Nothobranchius furzeri: one gene and its partner. The protein of the gene in region 1 interacts with the protein of each later gene in a pairwise test. Links are inferred from orthologs where the notes say so. Each region holds a gene or a part of one and is shown on either strand. Other genes may lie near its edges.

The links. The genes of interacting proteins can lie anywhere in the genome.
Region 2: the proteins of rwdd1 (region 1) and drg2 interact in binary tests that used the Homo sapiens proteins (3 or more experiments, as listed by UniProt). The link is inferred for Nothobranchius furzeri from reciprocal best matches to the Homo sapiens genes RWDD1 and DRG2.

The regions. Positions count from the first base shown.
Region 1 is NC_091745.1:58,580,517-58,586,145, reverse strand, and holds the start of rwdd1 (RWD domain-containing protein 1), read right to left. Parts: upstream 3,968-5,629; 5' UTR 3,848-3,967; coding exon 3,775-3,847; intron 3,404-3,774; coding exon 3,338-3,403; intron 3,012-3,337; coding exon 2,881-3,011; intron 2,699-2,880; coding exon 2,555-2,698; intron 2,409-2,554; coding exon 2,276-2,408; intron 326-2,275; coding exon 263-325; intron 1-262. UniProt on the Homo sapiens protein: Protects DRG2 from proteolytic degradation.
Region 2 is NC_091752.1:63,806,532-63,811,427, reverse strand, and holds the end of drg2 (developmentally-regulated GTP-binding protein 2), read right to left. Parts: intron 4,147-4,896; coding exon 4,088-4,146; intron 3,986-4,087; coding exon 3,932-3,985; intron 1,352-3,931; coding exon 1,265-1,351; 3' UTR 1,049-1,264; downstream 1-1,048. UniProt on the Homo sapiens protein: Catalyzes the conversion of GTP to GDP through hydrolysis of the gamma-phosphate bond in GTP. When hydroxylated at C-3 of 'Lys-21' by JMJD7, may bind to RNA and play a role in translation.

The sequences.
Region 1 (5,629 bases):
TTATTTCACCTTCTTATCTCAAACCTAAACGTACAGTTTTATGCCAAATTCAGATTAAGATACAAGACAAGCTCCGGTCTTTGTGCAGGAACAGATCTAAGCTGATTCCCTCAGCACTTTATTAGCAGATTACATATTTATTCTGGTTAAAGTGGAGAGCTGGAGTTTGTGCAAAGATCATTTTAATGGATTTAAAAACCGTTCCTTCTTGTTTAAAAGGGCTGAACAGCTGCAGCACGTGAATAATTAAAGAAGAACTTACCATCTTCAAGAAACTGAATATCCGACGTGTCGAGGTTGTGATCCCTCTCAAAGAGCTGTTTACCTGAAGACAAACAGATTCTGGTGTCGGTGTTTCTGTAGTCAGCTCTGGTGTGTTTTCACTGGTTTGTGGAAAAGACAACTGGATTGTTGTTTTTAGAAGACGTTCGATTAGAGTTGTCACAGTGGGAAGTGCAGAGAACCGAGCTTTCACTGTGATGAGCTGGAGTGCCAGCTCACATCACCCTCTGAAGGTCAACCTGGTCCACATCTGAGATGTTTAGGGCGTGAAGAAAGGCGACACATGAAGGTGTCAAACCAGTTTCAATGCTGCATTATCAGAACTGGAAATATGAGAATCTGCTGATTGGTCAGATTAGATTCTAGGGGCGGGGCTACTATGAATAAATACCGGAAGAAGGTTGAGTGTTCAGATCCTGAACTAACGGACGACGCACTCTCACCCCTCCTCCATATTTTAACTCTTCAGTGTTTTCTGAGTCAGAACTGATAAATCAGCTCAAATATCAGTCAGGATGATGGATTTTGTTGCTTGTCCATGCTAGCCCCCATTTCTTCTCCAGTTAGCTAGGAGCTACTCATAGCTGCTGATGCGCAAGTGGCTTCCTGCATCCTAGAACGCAACACAAACCTGGCTACGGGAGTTCATTTGGCTCAAACGACAGCTTAAACCTCGTCATTGTTTCACATCAAGGTCACATCACGATCCCACAAGCCCAGCCCACATCCTCCAGCAGGTCTTGGTTTGGTTCTTTTGTTCTGCATCCTGGTAAAACAACTTTGTTCAGAAGAACTGAACCATGGAGGTAAATTTAAATTGACTAAATGCTGCAAGTGTGGAAACACCATTGTGCTACAATCAATTTCAGTTACAGTTTCAAGCACTCTACATGTGTTACCTTTTTAAATGGAGAACTCACTACAGCCGTGAAACTGCTCACATGTCAGGTCTGAAGTGAGAAAACTTCTCTGAGGAGCAGGGGTCTCATTTATCAAGCTTGCTTACGCACAAAACGGGGTCGGAAAACTGCGTAAGCAACTTTCCACGCAAACTAGGATTTATAAAAGAAAACTTAGCGGAAAAATGTGCGCAACTTTAAGTTGACTAAGGACCTGGCTTACGCACATTTTGGACATGGAGAGCACCTGCAGTGCTGCTGCTGAGAAGGATACAATTATGAAATCCTGCAGCATTATCACTTGTACTGCTTCGTTTTCACACAGAACAAGACCCCCCCCCCCCCCCCGCACACACACACAGCTTGAAGCGCAGAATACGGAATGCTGAATATCAGCAGGGGGACAGATTGAGACAGAATGTCATGCGTCTGTGACGGTGTGAGTGTCTTGTCACTGTGACCTGATTGATCATGCGCCCTGGCTACTTGGACAAGGGGATGTCCCTTTGGCTAACTGGTTAGCGCGTGACTTTCACGCAGGAGTCTGGGGATCGAGTCCCAATCGGACCACTTTTTTTTAATCTCCACCACAGATCTCTCTGAAAAATTCACAACATTGACGGCTTCAGCAACGCTGTGCCACTCCGTGGATTTTCTCTTATTTGTTTTGCAAAAGCACTTCCTTTCATTTCTCCACCTCACCTACAAGTACCTCAATTTCTGCTTCTGTGAAATAGCGCTTCCTTGATCTACGGTCGCCATCGTCATTGGCGGAGCGCTGCAACAGCCGGCTTATGTATATGCATGAGATCCACAAGGCACTTTGCATTGACCATTTAAGGCAGTAAGTGGGTGTGTTGAGGGCGGGATGTGACTCAGAAACAGCTGAGAACCTTTCTCGTTAGTCTCTGATTTATTAAGCGGAGATTGCGTGCAGCTGTGTGTACTCCAAGTTTGATAGATCACAAACCTACTTGGCATAAATACATTTTTTTGCTGAGCTTAAGTACGGTTTTAGTAAGTATTCTACACAATGTTTGATCAATGAGACTCCTGATCAGCCCCATCCTGGGAATCTGGACCAACAGGCTTACCAGTCAGTTTGGGTTTTCCAGCCTGCTCCTCCTCTTTCTGTCTTTTTCTTCTAAGTTCCGTCATCTCCAGCTCAAACTTGGCTTTCCATGCCAGGAAGTTTTCAATGGTCACCACTGTGCCCTGGAACGCCACCTACCAAACAGGGAGAAACCATTAACAGAAAATCAAAGCAGCACTGAGCCCAGGGAGATGGATGAAAAATCTGGTCATGCCTTAAGTCGAACAGGAAAATCCTCAGTGCCTGTTGCTTAATCTAAAATAAGACTAATCACCATTACCTTCTCTGCTTCCTCTGCTTCCTTCTCTTTCTGACGTCGTTCCTCTTCTTGCCTGTTTTTCATTGCATCCACTATTTCATTTAGTTTTTCCTGGACAGCTGTCACCAGGGTAAAAATCATCACCATCCCCAAGTTCTCCTCAGCCTGAAGAGTGACACGAATCACATGAAATCAGACCAACAACCGGATGTTAAAACACCTAAAAATGACCTGAAACAGTTTGAGCCTTTCATATGCAGAGTTACCATTCACCCCAAGACAGTCTGAGCTCATTCCTGAAGACACCCAACGTTTACAGAGAGTGAAGGCGACATGTACTGACAGACCTGCTGCTGCAGTAAGGTGAGGATGTCCTCCGCATCCTGGTCCTCCAGGTTCTCCTGGGAGTAGATCTCCCACAACGGAGGCTCATCAGGGTATTTGGCTACATATGTAAACCTTAGCGTTGCTTCCACCGCTGTAACAAACAGAAAGCTGTTTGTTATGACACCTTACACAGAAACTCAATGACTGGCGTTTGAAACAAAACCTCCCAATCACACGTGATGAATGACCTGCACTTGTACAGTGCCAGTCTGAGCCAGATGAGTCCAAAGTGCTTTACACTACAGTTATTCATCCATTCACTCTGGTGGTGATGAGCTGCATCGTAGCCACAGCACACTGGCAGAGGTGATCCAAAAGCTGAGTTTTGATGTGATGGTGAAAAGTGTGCTAGATGTAAAAGGTGTTGGAGGTATAGAAGGCTAGGGGGCGTGGGAGGAGAGTATGAGGTGTACTCACTCTCGCCGTGTTCCCCAGCATCTGACGTCACATTGATGGTGAAACTGGTGGGGTCTTCAGACAGCACTGAGAGCACATCAGAGGAAATAATCTCTATGAACTCATACCAACAGGTTCAGATAAACACTAAAGTTTGAAATTCACTCCACAATTAAACGTTCCAACATTGCAGCTACATAGATGCTTTAACTCTGTGTTCCACCATGGAACTTCCAGATGTTCTTTAGCTACTAGCATGTTCAAACACACTCCAGAAGTAAAAACGGAATCGGTCTTGGGTTCAGTAGGTTAAACCCGACTGTAGTCCCAGGAACTGGACAACCCCTATGTCAGCCTAGCCTTCATATCTGGGAACACACCGGGAAAATGCTGTTCTAATCGGTTAGCTGACGCCTGCTAGCTGGAAGCTAGAAATTAAAACGTGACGAAGATCGAACCTGTAAACGAGTCAGGATAGATGGATTCTATAGCTTCAAGTTCATTTCTTTGCTCTTCAAGGTAGTCCGTCATTTTTGAGTATCTGAAGGTTATCTGGTCTTCAATAGAACCATGACAGGCACAAAAACGCTACCGCGAGGGACCCACTCACTATCAATCGATGATATCAAGGATCGAACATTTGGTCTGACAAACTGTGGCCTACGTAAGGCGCGTTACTGCCACCTGCTGGACAAGAGTGGAACCAGATTGTTCTCTCTGAGCTTAAAACAGAATCAACGGTATCATTTCTATTTAGCATCTAACAATGAAGCACTGCAGTGTGATTGTATTATAAATAAAGTAGTATATTGTAGTAATAATAAAGAATAGAAAGCAGAAAATGATAAAACAAGATAGCTTATTCAAAAACCAATTAAAAAAGGAATGAGTGAACAAAAGAAAAATCAGTAATTATTGTGACCACTTTCTTCTACCTACACGTGCACACCGTTGTCGCAGGAACTGGGCTTGTAGGTTGTTCCAAACATCTTGGAGAACTAACTACAGATCTTCTGTGGATGTAGGCTTCCTCACATCATTCTGTCTCCATGTAATGTTGAGATCAGGGCTCTGTGGGGGGCCAGACCATCCAGGACTTCTGGTTCTTCACGCTGAAGACAGTTCTTAATGACTTTGGCTGGATGTTTTGGGTCACTTACTTTTATCTTTTGTAAATTAAAAAAAAACATTTAAAAAATAATTATTTATGTTTCTGAAAAGACTATTTGTTTACAGCATTATTTTTTAAATCTGGTGCACCATTTCCTGGACCTAAAGTTGCTCACATCACAACTGAGCTTCAGAAGGCTATTGGAGAGAACGATTGTGCCTTTTGCACTTCTAATATAGAAACTGAGATACATTTATTTTTCACATGCATCTTTACCAAAATTTTCTGGGATAGTTTTCACTCGTGGTTAACGCATAATAATTTCATTATACGCTCCTTATCTTTTTCTGACATCAAGTATGGTATTAGTTTGGAGAATAAAATGCAGCAATTCACTGTCAATAATTTGATTATTTTCGCCAAATTCTTTATACACAAATGTAAATTTGGCAATATCAAACCGATCTTTATTGTTTTTATTTAAAGAACTTGCATCCTTTATGGATTCCATGTAGTTCCAAGAAAGCCATTTGGCTCTATAACAATTTGGTGAATGTTTCCTTTACTCCTAATAATGTTGTTTGATGTAATATATATATATATATGTCATGCTCAGAATTCAACTGTAAATATTGATTCTTATGTAAGCCTGTAAGCTTCATTGGTTAAATAAAACTTGTTTTAAAAAAAAGCTTCAGAAGGCAGGTTTTGGAGTCTTATTTCCTGATAATTGGACATCTCACCCTGGATTGGATAACAGCAGGGTGACTCTACCACTGACTCTGTTTGCTCTGTAAAGTTGATAATTTATCTCCACAACTTACACAAGCCTGTAGGAGCTTCTGCTGTACGGTGAAGTTGTTATGCTAACAGTTAGCTTCCACAAGCTGAGATGTTCTCTGCTGGACGCTAAACCAACAACTTCCCCGTCATGAGTCAAGGTGGGTGATTCCATGAATGTTAAGTGACAGTGTAGATCTGTCAGACTTTTTTCAAGTCCTAGCCTTTCACTGCCTATTTTCTATCAGAAGCTAATGCAGGAGATAGGTGTAGGAGACTATTTTCATGTTCAGTCTGCATGAAAATCTCAAAGACTGATTATTATCAGAAATTCTCATTAAAAATTCAGTTTTTTTAGTGAACTACACCTTTAAAGTGTTTTGGAAAAGTGTCTGGAGTACGGAAGGGAACATTATGATTAC
Region 2 (4,896 bases), on another chromosome or scaffold:
ATGCCCATCCATCCCTCTATGACCACATTGACCCATCATGTTTATATTTACTTGGCAGACGCTTTTATCCAAAGCGACGTTCAATTGTTAACCTATAGGGCATGTTGTGATCTGTGGAGGAAAGCCACGCATGCACAGGGAGAACATGCAACTCCACGCAGAAAGGCCACAGACGAGTTTTGAACCTGCAACCTTATTGCTGCGAGGCAACAGAGCTAACAACTGCGCCACCGTGCAGCCCTGGTCATCCGATATTTACTTCCAGCAGAATTAAGCACCATGTCACAGAGCTCAGATCATCTGTAACTGCTTTCTAGAACATGACCATGAGTTCCCTGAACAACCTCCACAGTAACCAGACCTCAGTCCACTCCAGAACCTTTGGGATGTGGTGGAACGGGAGGCTCTCATCACGGATGAGTGTGATGTCGTGTTTTATTGGCAGAAATGTTTATGCTGCTCAGTTCTGACCCACCAACAGGAGTTCAAGGAAAGTTTTCCAGGTGCCAACTCGCTGTTCCACGAATAATCGAATAATCTCTGAAACAAAATGTTGGCCAACCCTGTTTTATAACAAAACAAGAAAAACTGCTTCCTAAACGCACATTTCCAGCTTTTGTTTACTGACCTCACACACACACACAGCAGCATCAAGTGTCAGGCCAACTCTGATCAACACACACCCAGCCTGCTGTACCTTTGCTTTGTTATTCTGCTCCAGAACGCTCCATCTCTGCGCTCCGCTTCAGGTTATTCCGAAACAGAACCTCTTCATCCACGACGCCCAATGACGAGACATCATTACGACATCTTTAGGTCCAACTTCCAGTTCCTCTGCGTCTCGGATGAAGCCTCCCACTCAGAGCCCCTCTCCCAGACCAAAGAGGTGCTCGTTAATATTTAATACCACTATTGTGTTTGTGTGAGCCATTCGCTCCGAGAGGAAAGCGGCCGCTCGCTTTGGAGATGGGGTAACAAACAGCAGGCTAGCACGGATGGGAACAGGTGCTGAACAGGTGATGTGTTTGAATGATAAAACAGCCCATCGTTATTTTAAAATGTGGAATTTATTTCCCCATTTTCTCTAAATCATCGGTAACATAAACTGATTTCAGTCCAGGATCTGCTCCGCAGCGTTCCCTTTCTTCCACTTACTGTTAAACTTATTATACAAAATAAGGACGTTGGTTATTTTCCTTTGCTGTATAACTACTGCACAGAGTTCCTCCTCTGACGCCGGTCCGGTCCAATCACAACAAGTTCTTCACTTCTTTACAATCTGGATGACGTCTTCGTGCTCCATGACGTGTGTCAGGCCCACCCTCTGAGGACTGTATTTGGTACTGGTTCCCTGGAGAGAAAACACAGAACTACTGATGAAACGCTTTGCTAGTAAATCTGTTTCATTAAAATGCTTTCTTAAAAAAGGAACAGAGAGAAATTTGACAATTTGTCAACAAAAAGAGGTCTACACTATTCTTATTCATCTAGTTTTGCATGGCAAAAAGAATAAACTTCCAAATGTTTGTGTGGCCCCATGGTGGCTTAGGGATAGGGCCACTTAAAGCAACACTAAAGAGATTTTAACACTTGAAAGAGTAACTAAACACCAAAATTACTTTTTTTTTTGCTAATTAGCTGTATAATTGAGTTTTTACAAATGCAATCTTTCCGTTTCTGTGCATTTTTTGACATGCTTGTGTAAACTTGATTAGATCTAGAATCTAGGTCTAAAAACGTCTTAGTGCTGCCCCCTGTGGCACAACAGTGGCTACTGCATTTTAAACTTGTGATCGACTGGGGCTGGTACAATTTCACGCCATCAGTACAGTCTCCTCCCACTCCTCCTCCCTCCCAGGATGGAAATTCCCCACACTTGCCCATGCCACTTCCTGCCTCCTGGCAACGCCCACTTTCATGGCATTTTTCAAATGTTGACTAGGGGTGGAGTTACATTTTCTGATGGTGTGCAGTCCCCAGTCACCTCCTCCCAGAGTATTACTCCACTCCCACTACCTGTTTGAAAAATGCAACAAATGCTGTTGCCTAGCAGACCGAGAGGGCGGAGCTGCTAACAAATACAAGCTCACAGTGACATTGTGACATCATATGGTACCAGCTGATGAGATTTGATACTTCTTAGCCAATAGCAATGGCAGATTTAAATGAAAATGCAGTGCAGAGTTTTTACCTGAAGAGGGTGCAACACTGACAGTTTAAGGCAGAATATTTATATTTTAACAAAGATGCACTACAGCACCAAATTATTGATGACTTCTGTCTACAGTACGATCAGACACCGATTTATATAGTTTATCAGCAAAAAAAAAGTTGATTTGGGGGTGACTTGCTCTTTAAGTTATTGCTTTCAAACTGGTTTTAGTGGTTCTTGAGCCAGAAACCAGAGCTACTTCCCATTGGACAGCACTCTGTCGCCCTCTGCTGACCAGAAGTTGCACTAAACAGTTCGGGTAGGAACACTAGTGGGAGGTCTCTACCTGCTTTAAAGCAACAGCTGTGCCAGAAGCTCATATAAAGGCTAACAGTTAGCTCTTTCAGTTTGCCGATCATTAATAAAAAAAAAAAGATAAAACACAAGAAGAAGACTTTTCTTTTTGTTGGCATCGTGATGGAGCCTGAAAGTAAGAGTGATGTTTTGGAGGTGAAGCAAAGAACTAAAACCAGAGTGAACATCGGCGCGGCCTACACTCGTTTGAGGGCGCTGAAGGAGGTTATGAAATCACGGACTGATGGTGACCTGGCTTTGTTGCTGGACTTGTAAGTAATAATATTGTCCACCAGTGTGGATCTTTTGTAATTTGTGGCTTGAGTTAGCATTAGCTTATTGTTAGCTCTAGCTACAGCAGGCTGCGGCAAGGTTGCTTGGCAGTTGCAATTCCGCTTTCAACCAGAAGGAGGGAGAAGCTGGGAACTTAAGTGTTGCTTTAACAGTAATTTTACAAAACCTGAAGCAAAGTTAGAATAATACAACATCATCAGCTGTAGCTCTGTTACAGAGAACAGAAATAAAAACGTCAAAAATCTAATCCGCAATTGCTGTTCCTGTTAACACACAAGCTAACTTCAGCATTGCAGCAAAGCTAGCTGCTATAGGAGGTTAGGAAGTTAGCCGTTTAAAACTCCCATCACCAACTGTGTTAAAAGCAAGGAAGTGAAATGTGGGATTGTTCAAGATTCTTTTGTTAGTTCCTTGTTTAGTTTTAATATTTGTGTTGATGTGAACTTTGACCCCGCACCATCGTAAGGGGACATTGCTTTCCTGTACAATAAAATTTTATTCTTTTCAACATAGACCAGTTTTTATTTAGAGACACCTAATTTTGATTTTATGATTTTCAAAACTTGTATTCACGCTAATTTGCTTAAGGAAATTCATCAGCATTGTTTTTGTACTTTTTAACGAATAAAATGTCTTCGTGTTCATGAGGTCTTAATAATTTGAAACTGCAATAAATAAATAACCAAGAGCACATTTTCAGTACCTTCCAGAATGAGCCGTTTCATGGCTCTGTCACTTTAAGACAACAAGCTAGAGCTGGCCACGCCCACCCCTTCCCTGCTTGGCTACTATGAGCTGAGAAGCTCTGATATCTGGGAGAGGCTTGGAGTAGAACCACTGCTCCTCAAGTGTAGACAGGTGATACATGGTTCTATAATTTATTACCCTTCTTGTGACATCACAAACGGCAACTTTTTTAAACGACTTGTTTCAGGCATGTAATTCCTAAATCCAAACACTTACAGAAAATAGACAGATGGTTTGCAAAAGGTGAGTTTTGCAAAATATATTCTCTTCAAACCTGAACCCTGTTGACCTCAGAACATTGTAAACAGAAAATATTTGTAACAGTTTGTTGATCTACAGCTCCAAGAGAACAACAGAAACCAGTGAAGGTTTAACCTCACTTACCCACACCAGGGCGTATTTGAACTGGCTGGCTAAGGTTCTGTGGATTCTGTGGCACTGTAGGTAAAAACAACAACAACAACAATTAAAGACCTTCAAATTTACTTAAACACTGAATGCTCAGTTTGAATCTGTACAGTGCCAGTGTGCTCTACCTACCACATGTTCTACAGATGCTCCTCGTCTCATGATAATGGCATCATTAAAATCAGGACGCTCTAACACAGAAACATTTCATTACCAGAAAGTTTAGTTCTGAAATTTATTATGCAAACTAGGGCTGAACGAGTTTAAGGAAAGATTGAATAGCGATTTCAGTTTGATTCAGGATTTTCTGATTTTGCGGTCCCTCGTTTAAAAAGGGGTACTGCAGGACGTGTTCCAACTACAGGGGTAACGTCTAATCAGGGGTTCTGGAGAGGAGGGTCCGGCAGATTGTCGAACCTCAGATTCAGGAGGAGCAATGTGGTTTTCGTCCTGGCCGTGGAACGCTGGGCCACCTCTATACCCTTAAGCCGGGCGTACACTGTGCGACTTTTTCACTCGCAGCGTTCAGCTTCAGCTCAAACTGTACGACTTCCTCGCAGAGCAGATCTCACGAGTCGTGTGCTCACACTGCACGACCCAGTTCTCGCATGCGACCTGACTGCTCACACTGTACGTCTGGTAGCAACACGTCGGCCCTAAAAATGTGCTAAAAATAGCAGTTTTTACTCAACACGTCAGACTTTTTTGTCTTGCCTGTTGTCCTTCGGGCATGCTGCAGGAGGACACACAGGGATTTATGGGGGTTGGATGAGGAAACGAAATAAAGAAAGTAAATCTGTGTTTTGTGATCAGTTTAATTTGACATGAACACGACAAACACGCTTTCTTGACAATCTTTGTGAGTAAAAAAAACGTGTAGAAACAAAAACGCACAGCGTGTGTTATTATGGAAATAGCGAGCGACCGGCCGGCGTTGATGC